Linked DNA regions of Drosophila melanogaster. The protein of the gene in region 1 interacts with the protein of each later gene in a pairwise test. Each region holds a gene or a part of one and is shown in the gene's direction. Other genes may lie near its edges. The genes, in order: U2af50 and U2af38.

Region 1 (10,122 bases):
AAAGAAATTATTTAAATGTATATTTAGCTTGAGGCCAATGGGACTGCCCTCTAATACTTTCAACAGGCCGTACAATTCGTCAATAACGTACTACAATAGATAAGCAATAAGTTAATGTCACATATGTAAAATCAAATTTGTATGGCGGACATACATGAGATATTTGTATTAGAAAATCACCAGGCTGTGTGGCAAGCGTAAATAGTATTAGCATCAATATAATCCCCAGTATTCTATCAAGAACTATATTAGCCGGTCGAGATCTGCTTGATAGAAACTAAGTAATAGTAATATGATATTTAGCATCATCGATTTAACCCAACTACCTTTTATCACATGCTGTCTGCCATTCCTTGAAATGCTTATAAATAGTTGTGTGAACCATAATGCTGTTGATAAATACATTTTCCGCCATATATTCGAATATCTTAATTGGAGAATCGGCAATGAGTGTTAAGCCATATTGGATACTCTTGTTGGCATTATTGTTTGCCTTGTTTTGGTTGTCAGCAGTTGGTTGATTCAGTCTAGAGAGCTCCAGAAAGTCGCAATCGGTGCTATCATTATCATTGTATTCCAAAGATCGCCTATTTTCAGATTCACCAGATACGAACAGATTTCGTACCATTTGCTTGTCGTAGAGAATCACTTTAATGTGCTTCAGATATTCGGGCGTAATGCCCAAATAAACCAGTGTTATATTCGCCTGACTGCTATTGTATGTGAAACACAATCGCATATTGAACTTAAGAAATTGGTTCTGGTCCGCATTGAAATCCTCGTTGAGAATAGAGCCCAGGAAACGCAGATTGCCCTTTTCATGATTTATGGCCTTGTCACTGAACTCCAAATCTGATGCTTCCAGCACGTAATACGATACGACATTATCTTCATTTATTTGCACTTGGCCGTACAAATTGGTTGACTTATTGAGGTAATAATAGTTGACCGGTAAATATATCTTAATGCTCATAATATAATCGATTAACTGACAAAAACACCGGTATTTCTTCTCTCAATCAAAACAAAACAAATACAGCATGCTTGAGAAGGTGGTATACAATTGAGTGTGACGTCACCGTTTGTTGATTAACAAACTAGGGAGTACAGAATAGTTGCAGAATCGTATATGTCAGATGTCGCTTAAGCGTGTATTTTTATGTATGTATGTATATTATTATTATTATATTATTATGTATGATTATGTATAATAATTTATATAAATATTTTGCAGTAATGGACACCCTACAAGTGAAATTTATGTCGATAAATCGTTCAACGACACTTCGAAACTGCCAGTGTCGCACTGTTAGCCCTCGGCTATCGGTGGTCCATTCCATTGTTTCTCAGTTTTCACGTGTTCTTTTTTAAGTCGTTTCTTTTATATTTGCGTTAATATACGCAATAGAGGGACACATTTTTCTTCGGCATTTTAAAGAGTTAAAATTGTTTTCGTGTTAAGAAATATTAATTTTATTTAGCAACAAGAATGGGATATGATGGTGAGTTCAATGAAGAGAGCAAGTAAAGGGCCGCACTGAATTTGATGCCCAAGTGTGCATAAATAGATGTTTATGTATATATATGTATGCATACATACATACAACTATAAATGTATGCAAAGAAAGTGAAAAATGTGCAACTGAATTTGTTTATCGCGGCAACGCAGCCTGCTCCTTGTTTCATTTTTTTTTATATGTAAAAAAGGTCTGTTGAATTAGGGTTTTGTTAATAATCGCATTCATTCTAGACCGGTTGTTTTTTTTTCTATTTCGATGTTTCGCTCATTCATACATTCATACATACGTACATACGTTGAGTTTTGAGTCTATTTTTAATAGAATACAGTGCATTTCGGGATGGAAATGAATTTTGAAGATAAATATGTGAATATCGACAATAAAGGCGAGTTCTTATGACCATAAATGCTTCTAACCATACACCATACACCGAAATGTGTCCTTGTTCATGGCTTACATATGCGCGTGTGCCCGTGTGTATGGCTAAATTTGTGTGCTCTTCCTGGGTGAGGTGGACAGGGACGGGACACATTTGCGAAAATAGCGATTGGAGAATCAACATATTTAATTCCTATCGTATTTGCAGACCGTGAACGCGATCGCGAGAGACGCCGACATCGTTCCCGCTCTCGGGACCGCCATCGCGAACGCTCCAGGGATCGACGCCATCACCGGAACTCGAGGCGCAAGCCGTCGCTTTATTGGGATGTACCGCCGCCGGGATTCGAGCACATCACCCCGATGCAATACAAAGCCATGCAGGCGTCCGGACAAATCCCGGCAAGCGTTGTGCCGGATACACCACAAACGGCAGTGCCCGTGGTCGGATCGACAATTACCCGACAGGCGCGTCGCCTGTACGTTGGCAACATTCCGTTTGGCGTCACCGAGGAGGAAATGATGGAGTTCTTCAACCAACAGATGCATTTAGTTGGGCTCGCCCAGGCGGCCGGCAGTCCCGTCTTGGCATGCCAAATTAACTTGGACAAAAACTTTGCTTTCCTCGAATTCCGATCGATTGATGAAACCACCCAGGCCATGGCATTCGATGGCATCAATTTGAAGGGGCAGAGCTTAAAGATTAGGCGTCCGCACGATTACCAGCCCATGCCGGGTATAACAGATACGCCGGCAATTAAGCCCGCTGTTGGTAAGTAAACAAATATCCTAATTTTCATTGGCACACGGTCTAATCAAATAACCACCATTCCACATTCCAGTTTCCAGTGGAGTTATTTCGACAGTGGTTCCGGACTCGCCTCACAAAATCTTCATCGGAGGTCTACCAAACTATCTGAATGACGATCAGGTTGGTTCAACATTGAAACGTTTCCATTCGAATTCTCATAAACATTTGTATCTTCTGCTGCTGTAGGTTAAGGAACTGCTTTTGTCGTTTGGCAAGCTACGAGCCTTCAACCTGGTTAAGGATGCCGCTACTGGGTTGAGTAAGGGTTATGCTTTCTGTGAATATGTCGATCTTAGCATCACAGATCAGGTACGAAACTACTTCAAAATTGCAAACAAACACAATCTTAACTCTAACTCTCTTTCGATTCCTAATAAAATTTGTAGTCGATTGCTGGCCTAAATGGAATGCAGCTGGGTGACAAAAAACTGATTGTCCAACGAGCCAGTGTGGGCGCCAAGAATGCCCAGAACGCGGCCAACACCACGCAGTCCGTAATGCTCCAAGTGCCGGGCCTGTCCAATGTGGTGACCTCTGGACCGCCGACTGAGGTTCTTTGCTTGCTCAACATGGTCACGCCCGATGAACTGCGGGACGAGGAGGAGTACGAGGACATCTTGGAGGACATCAAGGAGGAGTGCACGAAATACGGAGTCGTGCGGAGCGTGGAAATTCCACGTCCCATCGAGGGCGTCGAAGTTCCCGGTTGCGGCAAGGTCTTTGTCGAATTCAACTCGGTTCTCGACTGTCAGAAGGCGCAGCAAGCACTTACTGGACGTAAATTCAGCGACCGCGTTGTGGTCACATCATATTTCGATCCCGACAAATACCACAGACGCGAGTTTTAGATACAAGTAAATCATATATCTCACATTCACCATTTGTCCAATAAATATCAGAATAAAAGTAAAATTTTGACTACGAAAATACGAAGATACCATGAAATAGAAAGGGATAGTCGCTTATTTCATTGTGAGCCGGAAGTTGGAAACGAAAACTCCAAATGCTTCTAATGGGTTGAAACTGTACGTGAGTTTAAGGGTATATAACATAACTACTTCATTCGGTGGCTTCCTCAATTCTCAGAAATCCAACATATAGAAACAACTTTGTATATATATAGACAGCTAACGCCGGATAAACATTTATTTGGCATTAAATAATTATGAATGTATACGTATGGTGTGTGTTTACTGAATTATAAGGCAATTACAAAAACAGTTGAAAATATCTATTAGACGTACAGATACAAATCACTTAAAAACGGAACGTACAAATGAAATACATTTTGGGTACATATACACATACATATATACTAAGCATGATTTGCTAATGCGCTCAAACGCGCAAAATGTCCAAATTAGAACTATTGTGCGAATGGAAACAGCAGAATGTTTGTTAAATAATTAAATGCGAGTGCAAGACAAATGATATCGATCGTTTCAGTGGGGCATTCGTATGGAATGCAAATAGTTTCAGATTAAAATCCTAAATGATTCGCATAGGGAGCACAATTTCCACTTCTTAAATCGACTAGTGCATTTTATGAATATCTAGATATATAAATTATATAATGCATTTAGTAATAATACGTCTATTGAACTTAGGCTTTAGATATTTAGATTTCGCAGTTTAGAGAAGAAGCTAAGTTAGAACTTTGATTTTATAAAAAATAGATATCTTTGAGCTATATTATTATTTTTCAAATATTTGTTATTTTAGCAACAGGTGTACTTCAATAGTTAACGTTCAAACATTTAAAATTTCGATCATTTCGAATTTTAAGGCACGTTCATTTAAATGTAATTGAATAATTACATTTTATTTTAATATTGTTTGCAAACTTTTAGTTTTTGTAACATTAGCTACAACAATCGTGGTTAAATAACATAGACACAATTATGTGGTATATCGTAATTGTTAAACAACTGGAAGACATATGTAATCAAAGTGGTTTAAATTTCCTTTGCCCTTTTTTTTTTATAAATTGTATTATTACTTTAAGCTTTAAAAGAGAAAATAAAAAAGGTAAATGCTAAATGATTGAAATGCTGTTTGAGTATTTGTGCTAAGAGAAAGGTCTAAAATAGTTTTCCAGATAACATATGAAAGTGGTCTATTTTCTTCAGTTAAAAGTCTTTAAGAAGATTGTAATATAATACTTATGAAAAGCTGATCCTGAAACTGAATATCAAATGCCCATTAAATTGATGCCAATTGAGCTGTTTATGAATTGTTTCTATTTCTAATTTTGGAATCAACTTAATGTACTTAACTTTTGATGGTAAAACTGGTAAAATGGAAATAGCTCAAGTTCCCTAAATCGAAATCAAATCAAATCTGGTTTGCTTATGCTTATAATGAGGTGACGAATAGTTAAAACATATTCGTATCATTCTATTCTCCTGAATCAATCTCACGCACAAATACAACATTTAGAGGACAACAGACTTGAATGCTTAGTGTTATGGAAAAGTGTACAAATTATACGGATTACATAAACTTGATTTCAGTTCCAGGAGTTCAGAATTCATTGTTACCATTTGAATACTCATTGTATAGTATGAACTAACCATAACTGCTGATGTGTATAGAAAGTAATCTAAATCTAAATCATACGTTTCAGATCCTAAGCTTTTTAGACAAATTACAAGTGAGAGAATCAGGTTCATAGTTCGATGAAATGTTCTTATGTACAAGTTGTTGATAAATTGCTTTTGCGAATTAAGTTCGCTTTCCTTTTGATCTAGCGCAATTGTTTTCGCAAACACTCGATTTGGAATCATTGATATTGATCCAGCTAACTCAGCAATCCTCTTACGGTGCGGTAACATTTGCTATCTTAATGTTGATCAGCAGGGACGATAATTCCAGCTCCTCGCTGAACTTATTTCGTAGGATGACGCTGCGATAGCCCTGGCGAATGCAGGTCAGCGGATAGCACGCCTGGGCGATGAAGTGCGTCTCGGCGAACATATCCTCGTCCTGCACTTCGAAGCGAAGGATCGCAAACTGTGGATTACGCACGTTAAACTCGCACGATTCATTCCACACCGGATTGAAACCATTTTCATTGACTTTGGTGCGATACTTAACGCCCGTATCAAAGCTAGCGCCAATCAATTCGACCACGATCTGCGGATTGTTCGATTTGCCGCCCCGGAATAGATGACGTGCGGCTATCAGACGTATGCTAACTTTAACTTCGCTTAGGCCATCGCACAGCGGATTGTTCGGATTGAAGCTGTCAGATTTCATGAACGATGGCTTTAAGATATAGCCACATTGTCCATTATTCCGAAACTTGGCCTGATTCAGCTGCATGGCCTTATCGCCTGTCTGATAGTTCAGTGCGATCATCTGGGATCCAACATTCCAGAATGGCATGGGATTAAAATTCGACGAGTCCAGGCGCTGACCCTTCGGATACACTCGGCTAATCTGATTGCGATGGTAGGAGAGAAACAGTTGTGTGTTCTGCTGGAAGAACTGCTTTTCGGCCTTCGTTTCGGGGAAACTCGACATTTCCTGAAATATCCACGAGTGCTCGCGGAACGGCACGCTGCGGAAGTAGATAATCAGATCGGACATCTCCTTGGCCACCCGGGCAGTGCGCTCCTTTTTCCGCCTCTCCGATGCCAGCTGACTGGCGATAAGGGCTGCCTCCTGGATTGCCTTTATCCACTCGTACGCCGTCTCCTGATTGTCGAAGCCAATCACAAACGGATTCTGCATCGTTGGCGTTTGTATCTGCAGCTTGAAAATAATCCCCGGATCGTTGGACTCAAAGAGCGAGGCAACAGCTCCGAAAATCTCAATGGAATCGGTGCGTCCATCCGTGCCCTCTTCGTTCAGCGAATTGTAGTCCTCGGTAGTTGAATCGATAACCTAGACATTGGAATTTTCAAGAGTTGAATATAGTTGAATTTCAAATAAATCTATATATGCATCTCACCTTAACGTAGTTTGCCGGCAGATGCTTCTTGATCATGCCACCATAATCTCCAATCCACCACATCGAGTTGTCCCTCTGGACATTCGTTATGATGGCATGCTTGGGAAAAGAGAGTTCGTCTGGCTTGTTCGCCTTATAGCTGTAGAGCGCCTTGCACGTGACATTCTCCTCCAGATTGGAGCCCATGTAGTTGGAGGCACCGTTGTCATCGTGACCGCCACTATGATCACCCTGTGCCGCCTCCGCTAGCGCCTGACGCAGCAGCTCCTGCGACACCGGATGGCTGAGCTTAACATTGCGATAGAGTGGATTTCGGGTATAATAGTTGATCAGCGAGACCAGAGACTCGAAGTTCATTGTATCGATGCCGTACAAGCGTCCCTCCTGCATAATGCGACAGTGCTTGATCTTTCGATTGATTGTGAACGAAATGACAAAAGCGTTAATGCTCTGCACCGATGGCCGCACTAGAAACGAACCAATTTCCAGCCGGTATAGACCCTGTTCGGCCTGCTCCTTGGTGGTGTTCGGATGGAACCACTCCTGATCCTCGTGCTTTTTCGGCTGCGGAACTGGCTCTTTCAGTATAATCGAAAACTCTGAGCTACGCAGCATATTCTTGCGATAATAAACGATCAGTGAGTACAGTGAATCGAATACAAAATTCTCCACTAGATAGTACTTGATCGATCCATTTTCATGCTTTAACTTGATGCGGCAATGATTCGGGCGATTACGTCGCCAGAACGAAAGGCTATAGTCTCCCACAAACGTGGCCGATTCCCGAACCAAAAATGTACCATCGCCAAAGTGTTTGTACTTCTTTAGTAGATCATCAGCCTCCTTTCTGCCACCTAAAATGCAAATTGTTAACGAAACAAATGGAATATACTGCATATATGTCAACCAATAAACGCACCTTCAAGTTTCCCATGGAACCAATTCTCGCCGAAGTGCAGCTCATCGTTGGCCGAGGTATCCTTTTGCTTTTGCTGCATATTGCTGTTTAGGGAGCACGACGAAGAAAGCCCAAAGTCATCATCCTCGGAGTTTCCGTTGCGTGACTCGTTGATCTCAGAGGAGTAGATTAGCTCCTGATGGGTCAGAACGAACTGATAAAGATTCCAGGACTTATCGACCGGATCCTTGAAGTAGAGCAGTCCCTCCTTGAACACCTTGCGCACATTCTCGCCATCGTTCTCCCCATGCGCTCCACCGCCCGCTCCGCCCAACGATGATCTATGGCCCAGTGAACCCGTGCTAGAAATCCCATTCGCGATGTCGTCAAACTGCGGCAACTTCTTGTGCTTCAGGATTATCTTGCGACGCAACTGGTATGGCGATGGCAAGTGCTGCTCGTTTCGATCACAAGGTTGCGTAAGCAGCATATCCCCGAAAACCTGTAATGGGTCATAAAAGGTATAAGTCAATGGATTTTTATGCGATTAATACTTAAAGCATCAAGAAATATCTAATTACCATCGTCTTGAAATCTAAGTAACTAAAAATATTGCTCTGTTACATTTATAATTAGATTCAAACGAATAAAAAGCGAATTCTTCATATTGTCATACATATTCCCAACTATCGAAATATACAAAATCCATTTCAATTATATATTAAGTTAGGCAATCTCACAGAAAGCCATAAAAGAACTCATTATTACAGCGAATGAATCAAAAAGCAAACATGCAGATCTCCTGTTTGCATGGAATATATAAATTGTTGTTATTAATAGATTCGATTAGGTCAACTTACCTCGATCAAGGCCTGCGCCATATTCCGCTGCTGTTCCAGGGAGCAATTCTGCTCTATGGACAATATTACCGGATACTCGGAACTGGTGAACGCATGATCCTTAATCGTCTTGATGACATCCATGAACTTGATCTTGGAGGTAATGGTGTGGCCGTGAAATATGTAGGGCAGATTGTCGGGCCCGTTCCAACAATCCAACTCGATGCAACGGCAGCCCATGCGAAGAGCGCGGGCGTAGGCCTCGCAGGAGGATTCACTGGAGAACTGATCGCCCGTCAGGTAGGTATTGTGCGACGATGCGATCCAGTAGGAGGACAACGGCAGGTTCATGTCCATGAACACTTGGTCGTACTTGCTGTTCCACAGGTCGTTTTGCTTGGAGAACAGAAAGTCGACGAACTCCGGGAAGGTGAGATACGGCTCCTGAACATCACGTTCCACGTCCTGAACAAAGTCCCGAATGAAGGAGGCAATGGCTGCGCTACTGATCTCACTGGCGCTCACATCGCGCTGTTCCGTCTCGAGGAACTGCTTCAGCTCCGCCGGTCGCACCACCTGTTGGTCCTCCGAATAGGGAAAGTTGGCCACTCCCGATCCGGACAAGACGCTGGCAAATCCGTTGGGCAGCAGCAACTTCTGATATAGCCGCGAGAAATCATCAAACTTGAGATCGTGCTTGCGCCGCACATCCTCGGTAAAGTGCTCCATGAACTTGCCGGTGGTCATCTTACAGCTAACTCCGGCCAAAAAGAGCTTAAAGTCCTTAATGGTCACCTGGGCTGGCGACTGTTCCGTGGCCTTGGCGGAATGCGTGTTAACATTCTCGATTTGATAGTACTCGCGACGCAGCCAGCGATCAATTTGCAAGGGATAGGGTGCTCCCAGTGTGTCCTTAACCATGTAACGCAATCCCCGCACCCAATTGTCGGCCTCGATCTCCGACAGAGCCACCACCGAGAAGCTCTTCAGCTTGAAGTGATTGCCGTGCAGTATGACAAAGCACTTGCTGGACTCGAAGCGCTGACAGTCGTCGGCAAACAGGCGAAACTCCTTCGAGTGCTTGCCCACCCGTATCTCGCGAATCTCCCGCAGCTGTATGGCGCCCTCGTAGTCGGTGCGTGGCGTTTGTGTGGCCACCGTTGCCCAGAGCAGCTGTCGTGTCTCTCGTATGAGCATCAGGTGGCGGCGATCCGGACGACGCTGTTTCCCATACAACTTGGTCACGATGGTGCCGCGCTCCAGCATACCAATGGTCTGCTCCATCTCGCCCAGCAGCGGGGCACTCATCGCACTAAAGCAGCTCATCCTGTCCGGTCCAAACGTGTCGATTCCTATCGAATCCAGTTCTCATCCGCTGGCTGCCACAGGTTGTTTCTCGCCTCGCCAACCGATCGCCAGACTAAGTGCAATGCATACAAACTATGGGTGCCAGCGCGTGGAACTATTCGCAGATCAACTGCTCCCTCTCTTCCAACTGGTCGATGCACAAATCACGGCCACTGGGACTCAATAAACCGAGATTAACAATGCAATATCCGAATTGTACCCAAAAAATACCACAGAAGCAGATAAGATAAGCCAGCTGTTGAGGAAAGTGCCAGTGTTGCCAGGCCGTAATGTGGGTACAGAAAATACTAAATCCACGCAAATGGGGCGTTCACACTGCGGTGTATTTCGAATTGTGAGGAAATAAAAAAATA
Region 2 (9,967 bases), on another chromosome or scaffold:
ATTATCCAGAATGTTAAGAGTATCTACATAAAGTGATCTCATCTGATTGTCCCAATCCTAAAACGACATTATATTGAGGCATTTAATAACTCTAATTTGAAACATAAACAGCTGAAAAAGGAGAATCTCTAGTGAAATCGAAGTCTTGGCAATGAGCCTTTATTTCGTTATTTGAGGGACCCAATCCATTAATAAATATTGGCCAAATATTGCGCCCCACCAGAAGCGAAAACAACAACTCTGTGTAAAAACGAGGCATGTAATCGCTGGCGTCCCGGTCTCTATCTAGCCTTCTCGCTCCCGCCCCCAGGCACCCCGCTAGCGACCTCTCGCTTCAACGCACTCGGGCCTGTTGCCAAGCGCCCCCGAAACGCAAATACTTACTTTTGTGGGTCTTGTGGGGTTTTCAATGGGTCGCAATTCTGGCGCTGCGGATGCTGCAGCGGCGAAAGAATCAATGGATATAGATCTGGAACTGGATCTGGATTTCGGGCTGCGGACTACTCGCCCCCCGTTCGCGATATCGCTATAGCTATAGCTCACCACCAGCGAATGGAGCACATCTTTCTATATTCTCGATTTCGCGATTCGACGGAACACTCACACTAGCAGCCGCACGCACACACGCACCAACACAAACGCATAAGACGGACACTACGACACACTGTTTAAAAAAAAATGGTTCGCTTTTGATTCTTATTTTCGTGGTTTTACCCACTCATTGGTTCTTTTAATTGGCGTGCAATTGTTTCAGTTGTAGCTGGATCAAAACATTCCCGTGCGGAGCTTTTGGACGACAGAAATTGGGGTTTAATCACAATATATCAGCACACCATTATTTTCGGGTAGAAATCGTGCGGTGTTGAACAGCGCTGTTGTTGCCATGCCACTTGCTGCGAGTGAGCTGCAGGGCCTTTGTAGCACTGGCGGCTTGCAGTGTTGAGCAAGACGAAACTACGTATCGGTTGGATATAATAACGTAAGCGCGGGAAACAGGGCTGCCCAAGAATACAAAATATTTCACACATTATAATTACAAAAAGGTTGGCCAGGTTGTTGCTTTTAATCATTTTAATTTCACAACTTAATTCATTCGAAATTATATTTTTTCAAAATAAAGATTTGCAGTCTATGCTTTTTTCCGAAAATATGCGATTTTGCATTATAATAACATTTAAATTTCTTATTTAAAAGGCGATTGGCGCAAATCATTCTTTGTATAAATATAAAATATATTCTAAATAATTTGGCAGCCCTGGAAAAACGTTAGAGAACGACTGCTAAGCCGTAAGTTACCCATCTTGTAGCCCTTGGGCGCCAAATTCAAAATCATAGCTTACCCTTCCGTGACTCGTTTATTGTACAAACAGAAACTTATTTTAGAGCTAAGCTACAGCATATTTATTGTAGTAAGAAAATAAGGACCATGACGTTTGGAGCCTACTCCACCCGTCTGCGTAAATCAATTAGGCAGACATTTATCAATGATTTTGTTTTCTCCTTTTAGTTTAAATTTCTGTTAATGGTAGTTATCGTCGTTCTGCGAATAGGCGATGTGATTTCTTAGGTAATTACGTTTAGCATTAATTGTGGCCCGTTTCATCAAAAACGATATATTGGTTAACCAGCTTAGAGACGCCATAATAATGCGTAATGGTTCTCTCCTGAATGTTTATCAATGGGGTTTGTGTGTGAGTTAGTGATTGTATGAGGATGTTCGTTTGTGGATCTGGAGTGCCTAGTGAATCTGAATGATGCCCGACTCCAGCAGTTTCATTATCTTATCGGCGATGGCAGGATTCTGCAAGTGTCTGAAATATAGAGGTTGTTAATTAAAATATAGTATACAGGTTGTTAATAATATATAAGACCAAAGAAACGTAAGTCTGCTTGTTAACTTCAAATGGGCTATTAATTTCTAGATTTTACCAATGAAACCCAAAAAAGCGAACGAATAAAGCCAAACGGGTACTTACTCTTTGACCGCATTGGGATCGCTTTGCATCTGCTCGAGGATCATACGCATAGCCGGATCCTTTAAGATCTGTTGAATCTCCGGGTCGGACATTGCGTTTTTGAGGACCTCCTGCGGATTGCGCTGGAAGTTCATCGAACACTGACGGTAGCCTTCAATGGCCTCCGCGTTGTTGGGGTCCAGTTCCAGGGCCTTTTGGTAAGCGGCTTGCGCCTTAGATTGTTGCTGCATGCCCTGTAGAATTTTGCCCTTGCGGATGTAGCCCTTTATGAACTTTTCGTCTAGCTTGATGCAAGTGTCGCAGTCCTTGAGGCCCAGATCAAAGGCGGCCAGCTTGGTGTAGCAGGCGGCGCGGTTACTATAGAGTTTGGGATCATCCGGATTGCGCTTGATGGCCTCGGTGTAGTGCTTTACAGCGGTGCTGTAGTCCCCCTTCTTAAAGAAAAGGTTGCCCTGCTCCTTCTCTTCCTCGGCCTTCTCCGGATTGATGTAGGCCATTCGCTCCTCCTCCTTGATTTTGGCTTCCACCTCGCTCAGCGAGGTCTTGATCTCAGGGGTGCGATGCTCGGACATGGCCTTCTCATAGTAAACCTTCGCCTGCTTGTAGTTCTCTAGCTTACGATAGGTGTTACCGATGCGAGCAAAGGACTTAGCTATCAGCTTAAAGTCGGCGCGGCTTTCGCGCCCCACCTCAATGCCCTTCTCGCACTGCTTGATGCACTCCTCGTACTCCTTGCGCTCAAAGTGAACAGCAGCTATGTTGTTATAGAACGTGATATCCGTGGGATCGTGTTCAATGGCAGCGTGGTAGTGTTTTAGGGCCGTTTCAAAGTCCTTTTTCTTGTAGGCGGCGTTGCCCAGTTCCTTCTCCTTCCTCGCGAAGTACTTATTCTTCTGCTCCTCAGTCATGTCCTCTACCCGAGGTTCAGCGGGCTTTGGGGGCTCAGCCGGTTTCGCCGGCGGTGGCGATGGAGCCCTGCGGCTGCGTGCCTGCTGGGGATCAACGTCCATGGGTATATCCCCCTGCGATTGCATAAAGCTCAGAGCCGAGGCAGTAGTTTCCATGCGGCCTTGCAGGAGTATAGCATTCGTGGGATCGTACTTGAGACCTGCGCCGGTAACCGAGGTTAGTGAGGTTAGGTCGGGTGATTCATGGCATATAACTGAGCTGTGTTTGAACTTACCCTCGTTGTACGCTTCGAAGGCCTTCATAAAGTCATTCAGACCCGCAGCGGCAGCTCCTTTGCGTGAGTAACCCTTAGGCCAGGTGGGATTAAGCTGAATGGTCTTCTCCGCATCTTCTAGCGCCTCCTGGAACTTTCCAGCCTTGGCGAATGCCGCCGAACGGTTGCTGTAGAGCACATGGTTCTGGTCGTCCAGAGCGATGGCCTCTGTGTACGCCGCCACCGCCTCGTCGAACTTCTCGGCACTGAGCGCCTGGTTACCCTTTTCCTTGAGTTCGTTCACCTGCGAAAACCGCAAGGGTTTTTGATTGGAAATGCCAACGCCTTTCCTTTGTCTCGGGCACTTACCTTGTCCATTTCTGATAAGGGAGAGGATAGCGCTGTCGAATTACAGTTTTTCCTGTATTTTTGTACGACTTTTTAATAAAACACGCTGCGAAATGTGCCGTGCCAGGTGAAAATGCGAAAAATGCCGACTTTTCTAGAAGCAATCGATAGGGTTGTCAATGCTTCTGCGACTGAATTTAATCTTTTTCCAGACTGCGGTTTAGAACTTAGCTCGTTCTCAAGCGGGGAACAAAACCAGCAAGCCTTCTTAAATAATTTTTTCCATTGCTTATATAAATTAAAAAAATTGTTGATCAAATATAAATAATACCTTGAGCTTTATAGAATTTAAATGTTATTTTATTGTATTGTTTATTTATGTTTATATTATATTATTATTTGCGTAAATAATTTTCTCAATTTCTTATTTTGAATTGTAAAATTTTTCTAGTCAAATGAAAAATAAGTCCTCAGGCTTTTAAGTGCATTAATATTTAAATATTTGAAATTAATATTTAAAATGTTAGCATATTTTAAAACATTTAAATTAAGAACAGAGGTATCGAAAAACGATGCTGCCAAAAACACTAAATATCGATAACTAATCATCGATTTTATTTGCAACTCTAGATTCGAGGCTGGCAACGCCGTGCAAAATACGACCAGACGCTGCTTTTTTCGGTTTCCGAAAATAATTGAAAATTATCACTAAATAAACAGGCGGCTAACATAATTGCAGTTTGACCGCGTTGCAGAGACAAGCGGGTAGATAAGTTACACATTTTGGCCACAGCAACACCACAGTAAAGCCGCCAGCATGGCCGAGTACTTGGCATCCATTTTTGGCACGGAAAAGGACAAGTAAGTCGCATGGCACATTTATTTTAACGTTGCCGGGATTAATAACTAAATGGCGTTGCATTTCCCAGGGTGAACTGTTCGTTCTACTTCAAGATCGGCGCCTGCCGCCACGGCGACCGGTGCTCTCGCATCCACAACAAACCCACTTTCTCGCAGACGGTGCTTCTCCAAAATCTATACGTGAACCCCCAAAACTCCGCCAAATCCGCGGATGGCTCCCATCTGGTGGCCAACGTCTCCGACGAGGAGATGCAAGAACACTACGACAATTTTTTCGAGGACGTGTTCGTAGAGTGCGAGGACAAGTACGGGGAAATCGAGGAGATGAACGTGTGCGACAACCTAGGCGACCATCTGGTCGGCAATGTGTACATCAAATTCCGTAACGAGGCTGATGCGGAAAAGGCGGCAAACGATTTGAACAACCGGTGGTTCGGTGGTCGACCGGTGTACTCGGAACTATCGCCGGTGACCGACTTCCGCGAGGCTTGCTGTCGGCAGTACGAGATGGGCGAATGTACCCGCTCCGGCTTCTGCAACTTCATGCACTTGAAGCCCATCTCGCGTGAGCTGCGAAGGTACCTCTACTCCCGCCGCCGTCGTGCCCGCTCCCGTTCCCGATCCCCTGGACGCCGTCGCGGCTCCCGCAGCAGGTCCCGATCCCCGGGTCGAAGAGGAGGCGGCAGAGGCGACGGTGTCGGCGGAGGAAACTACTTGAACAACGAGCGGGACAACATGCGTGGCAATGATCGCGGAAACGATCGCGATCGCCGCAAAGGTGGTGGCGGAGGAGGCGGTGGTGGTGGTGGACGGTATTAAATATTCTGGACATTTTTTCTGTACGGTGGCAATTGAGAGAGAAAGCAACGGACAAGCAGTAACGCAAAGCATCGTGTATTTTAGTCTCTGCGTTGGTTTTCCACGTTTTTATATCACTTTTGAGTAAACGAGATGGAAGGAGGAGGAGGAAAATGACGATGGGGAGTTCCACCACCTATGTACAAACCCCCCGCGAAATATTTTACCGAGCGCCCATTAGAATTGTAATTTACTATACATACATTCATAATAATAAAATTGAGTAATATTATACTGGAAGCCATAGTAAGAAATGGGTCTAATTGTCAAAAAGTCCAGGCACTCAAAATAAAAGACTCCTCACAGGTATGGATAACATCCAGAAGACACCACCCCTTGTTAGGCCTGCAGTCTTATTTCGCTTTGTAAGATTGAATCTTACCACGTTGTTTTAATTATATTTCCATGCGCAGATGGCTTCACCAACTGAAAACGATCAACAGCGTAAATGATGCTGTCAACTGTCTTAAGACGAAATCTTAAAATCTTCAAAAATGCGTACATTTGAACAACGAAATTCTTGTTTTCCCCGACTTAGTCTTAGATTTTAATAGGTGCATATTTAGGGGCATATTTGTGATCAAGCTATGTCAGTTGGCGGGCTTCCATCGTGATTAGTCGTTCCACCCTGAGGAACACCTCTGAAAGCCTCGCCTTCATTTTGCACTGCTGGCTTCTCCGCTTGAAGATTACTCTGTGCGCGATGCGTCGATGGAGGTACGGGCGTGTCAGAGGAGTTGCTAGACGCCTCCCTGGCTTTCAGTTGCTTGGTCATGTCTATTTGCTGCTGCAGCGTGTAGGTATTCTCGTGTTTGCGCCGTTGTTGCTGCTCAACGTCCCTCAGGACACCATCGTGCAGTCTCAGGCTGGAAGTTAGAGATCGGAGGCTATAACTTTATTCCGGAGTATTTGGCTTACTTACCGGTCTGCCGATTGTTTATAGTGCACATAACCTATGATCGCTGTGGAAATGGAGACCGCCAGTCCCAAAGTCACTCGCGAAGCGGTCGACATGACTGGGCACCGGTCTGCCGCTGGAGATTTCCGCCTAAAATGCCTGCACTAGGAATTTGGCTGTCGGGTTGTGTTGTTTTGAAGTCGGTTCGGGTTACGACATGACTTTAAATTTGAAAGAAAAACAACAGCACCACACAGCTGACAAGAGAGTGGCCAGTTTACGGAAGCAAAGTTTTCCCTATCCAGAGTTAGTGCGCGGGAAAATCAAATTAATTCCCTTCAAATCAGCGCAACACTTTTGGGGGTCCTAAAGCCAATTGCAGTTAGAAAATCTCAGACTATTGAAAACTTGAAGCTTTAGACGAAAATACAATTTCGAAGTGATGTATATAATAGCGATTTCCGTATCTAGTATCTACATACATATGTACTACAGAACTTCTAGCCTTTATCAATGACTTTTTATTTAGGTTTTTTATACTTTTATCTACAGCTATGACGCAGTGCCTAAAAATAAAAGCAGATGCTTATCTCTCCGCAAAGATATCTTTTTAGTTATGCCTGCATTGTTTCGACTCATCTGGTTACTCACTAAGCAACATACATCTTAATGGGTGGGGGCGATTCATTCAGGTGATTGGCCATCATTAACCCATAATGGAGCCCACACTCCCGAATCCGGAATGCGAAGCCCGGAGTCCGTCTTCCGTGGTCGGTGGTCCGGACATGCGCAGCACGCACCTGATGCGAGCGACTGGAGGAACGACACCACAAAACCGAGGCAGAGACAGAAGCAACAGCCAAGTACAATGGAAACGAGTACAAAAGGCAGGAGGCAACACGGCGTATGGGCAACAGTGCGACTCCAGTTTTCCATACGCTCAGTTGTGCCCGCGGTCAAGGGAAAATCGCAGCCGAGCACTTCCTCCGAGCGAAGCCAAAAAGAAATCAAGAAAATACTTAGCGTGCGTGTGCCGGGGACCTGGTGATTTGTTCAGAGTGTGGAAATCAAACGAAAGGCAATCAACAATTGTTTTTAAGGGCCATAAAAACCATTAAGTTATTAACATAACCGATTTATAAACAAGAGCCACGGGGATCTTCTTCCAGGGCGGTCAAGATTTTCAAGATTTTTTCAAGATATTCCTGGCCAACTTTAGGTTCCATTAATATTTATGTCGGTGACGCAAATATTGATTTAAATTTGTGCGCGCTTTGAGTTGACGAAAGCGAGGTGTTTTGACTCAAGAGCTAAAACACCTTGACGACGATTTTAATTCACTTCTTTCGCCCCACCGCAAAGCACAGACAAAAACAATACACCAATTTTTCTTTTAAAATTGAAGAAAAATTTATTTTCAGTTTATCAAGGGATAGTAGTTCTAAATGGTTTCTTTCTTTCTTTGCCTAAAAAAAAGTTTTATACTTAGCACTTTGTACTACATGAAAATTTCACAATTGTTGATTTAGATATATAATTAAATTATGCACTGTATATGGAACACTGAAATGTAGCGAATTAGAACTTGAGGAACATATTGCAAAATTTTTCTGCCCGTGTAACGTGAAGTCTCCTTTGGCTTTTCCTGTGTAGGATCTTTGAAAAATCCACAAGATGACCAAAGTTGAGCTATACAAGTCGCGCGTCTTTGTGACAATCATACACCTGTGTGCACTCGGCCAATTCGCCTATGGACTCTACTACAGCTCCTTCGAGATCCAAAGGAGCTACAAACTGAAGACGAGCCTCAATCGCCGCCTGGTTCCCGAATCGCTGCCCCAGAAAATCAAATTGCTGTCCTACTGGTCGCTGGTAAGTTAATTTACGGCGTGCCCATCGAAAGCGCCACAAAGATACAGAGATACATATGTGAGAAATTATGGGAAATTAAAAAACAAGACGGAAATGCGGCCAGCATCGGTTGTTTCAAGTGTTGAGCTCGAGACCAGAAAAATCAGCGAAGGAAAAATTATTTATATTCTAGGCCCGTATGCCGATGTTCGGGTTTATGTGTGCCATATGTTTGTTTATTTGTTTGTCTGTTCGCTGGGGATCGCCCCCTTTCCCCTTCGATTTTCTCTTACTTGCACGCTCTTTTTATCGGCCAGGCGGGGTCAACAACTGTGGAATACGGAGGAGTATCCGCCAGATACGGGAGCTGTGCTCGCCGAATTTCCTCATTCGCGCTGCACTTTTCCCTGATGGCAATGCACATTCCGTGTGGGAAAGCGTTTTTCGGCATTTTCTCGCCCCAAGTGTTTATTTGCTCAGATGTTCGCGGTTTTCCAGATTTTTGATTCCACTTCTTGACGAATGCGAGATTATCTGATGGGCGCCAATGTAAATGTGCCATACGTGGCAGTTGGCTTCGATTTGGTATTCTGCTATTCGGTGCTTCTGACGCCTCATTTACATATCGTTAAATTGTTAGAAAATCGATGGATTATTGCATTTTTCTCGCAGCTCCTTGGCAACTGGCACAAGCGAATGTTTCATTGTTGAATTGGTGAACGAATTTCATTTCGAATGGGTAAATAAATATGTCTTGAATTTCGGCCCACAGAAAAAAAAAGAAAAAATGTATTAAATAAGGAAATTAACGTCACTTAAGAGAAATTGTACTTGTAATTGAAGAAAAATGTATGCTGCCACAAATCTGGTTTTAAAATGGGCTATAAAATACATACATATATATAACGAGTCCACTTCTGATGTTATCTCCATACATTTTTCTCAACTTGACAATATTTCTGCTCAATCTCTTTAAGATATGACCCAGAAATGAAGATATTTTTGCATTAATTGCATTTATTCAAGAGAAGGAATTGTGCTCTTTTTTGATACGATGCTTTTACATATGTACATATTTCCACACCACGGCTTTCCATTTCCGTGCGTCTTTCCAGGAACATCTTAGTTTGTTATTGCATGACCTTGCTCGCCCTTGATTAACGCCGTCTGTCCCGCAAAAAGTACTTTGATCTGGTCAGCATAAAGTGCTTTATATCTACAGATCTTTTTCTTTTATGTAGTCCCTTGAAACGATCACGAGAACTTTTCGGTGCCACTACCATCCGGTTCATTATTTTCGTTGTCGAATTTTTACCTTTCTTCTGGTCTTCTGGGCATCTTAAAAATCTGGTGTGCTGAAATTGTTTATATCGGCGCAATCAAAATACAAATAAACTAACTATGTTCTGACAAACAATTGCATTGTTGAAGCAAACGTGAAATTATCTGTGTACGCTTTTTGCCAAATTCTCTTCGATTCGAAACAATTTATTAGTAAAATATATTTAAAGAAAAGATTTAGGTTTCGATCCACTAATAGGATTAGCTGTGTTTAGAATAAAAAAAAAATATATATATATAAGCAAAATCTTTGTGGAGAATATAAAGCATGAATTCCATGCTTTTCCAAATGTCATTTACAAACACAATATACATATACAAACTCCATTTATATTTTTATAAACATTGAAAAGTAACTATAAGTAACATAAGAACATGTTCCCAAAAATGATAGGGTATGAGTTGTCCCCATCAGCCTGATTTCCCTTACATCTGCTGTCCATCACCCCTGTGTTTATTTGCTCTCGTTGGTTCCAATTCTGATTGTTATCCGCCCCCAAATAAGAGGCAACATCATCGAATGGAATTCTCCGAACGTTTCAGATTTAGTTTAGAGTTCACTGAGTTTCCACGATGGGTTTGCATTGGCAATGGCTGATCTGGGCATTGGTGGGGCTCCATGTGGCACTGGCCACCAAGTGGTATGGCGGTGGAATGGACTTCAATGATCCC

Evidence for each region.
Region 2: the proteins of U2af50 (region 1) and U2af38 interact in binary tests that used the Drosophila melanogaster proteins (3 or more experiments, as listed by UniProt).

Annotation. Positions count from the first base shown.
Region 1 is NC_004354.4:16,350,191-16,360,312, reverse strand, and holds U2af50 (U2 small nuclear riboprotein auxiliary factor 50), read left to right. Parts: upstream 1-1,859; coding exon 1,860-1,905; intron 1,906-2,106; coding exon 2,107-2,670; intron 2,671-2,740; coding exon 2,741-2,829; intron 2,830-2,895; coding exon 2,896-3,018; intron 3,019-3,095; coding exon 3,096-3,557; 3' UTR 3,558-3,617; downstream 3,618-10,122. Other genes in the region: PIG-Q (phosphatidylinositol glycan anchor biosynthesis class Q), read right to left, coding at 1-90, 155-263, 327-973; sl (small wing), read right to left, coding at 5,527-6,597, 6,665-7,518, 7,584-8,064, 8,423-9,727. UniProt on the Drosophila melanogaster protein: Necessary for the splicing of pre-mRNA. Binds to the polypyrimidine tract of introns early during spliceosome assembly.
Region 2 is NT_033779.5:288,821-298,787, reverse strand, and holds U2af38 (U2 small nuclear riboprotein auxiliary factor 38), read left to right. Parts: upstream 1-4,106; 5' UTR 4,107-4,303; coding exon 4,304-4,347; intron 4,348-4,415; coding exon 4,416-5,166; 3' UTR 5,167-5,785; downstream 5,786-9,967. Other genes in the region: Stip1 (stress induced phosphoprotein 1), read right to left, coding at 1,739-1,811, 1,977-3,084, 3,160-3,442, 3,508-3,516; CG11562 (uncharacterized protein), read right to left, coding at 5,786-6,071, 6,128-6,219; amnionless, read left to right, coding at 9,869-9,967. UniProt on the Drosophila melanogaster protein: Necessary for the splicing of pre-mRNA. Binds to the polypyrimidine tract of introns early during spliceosome assembly.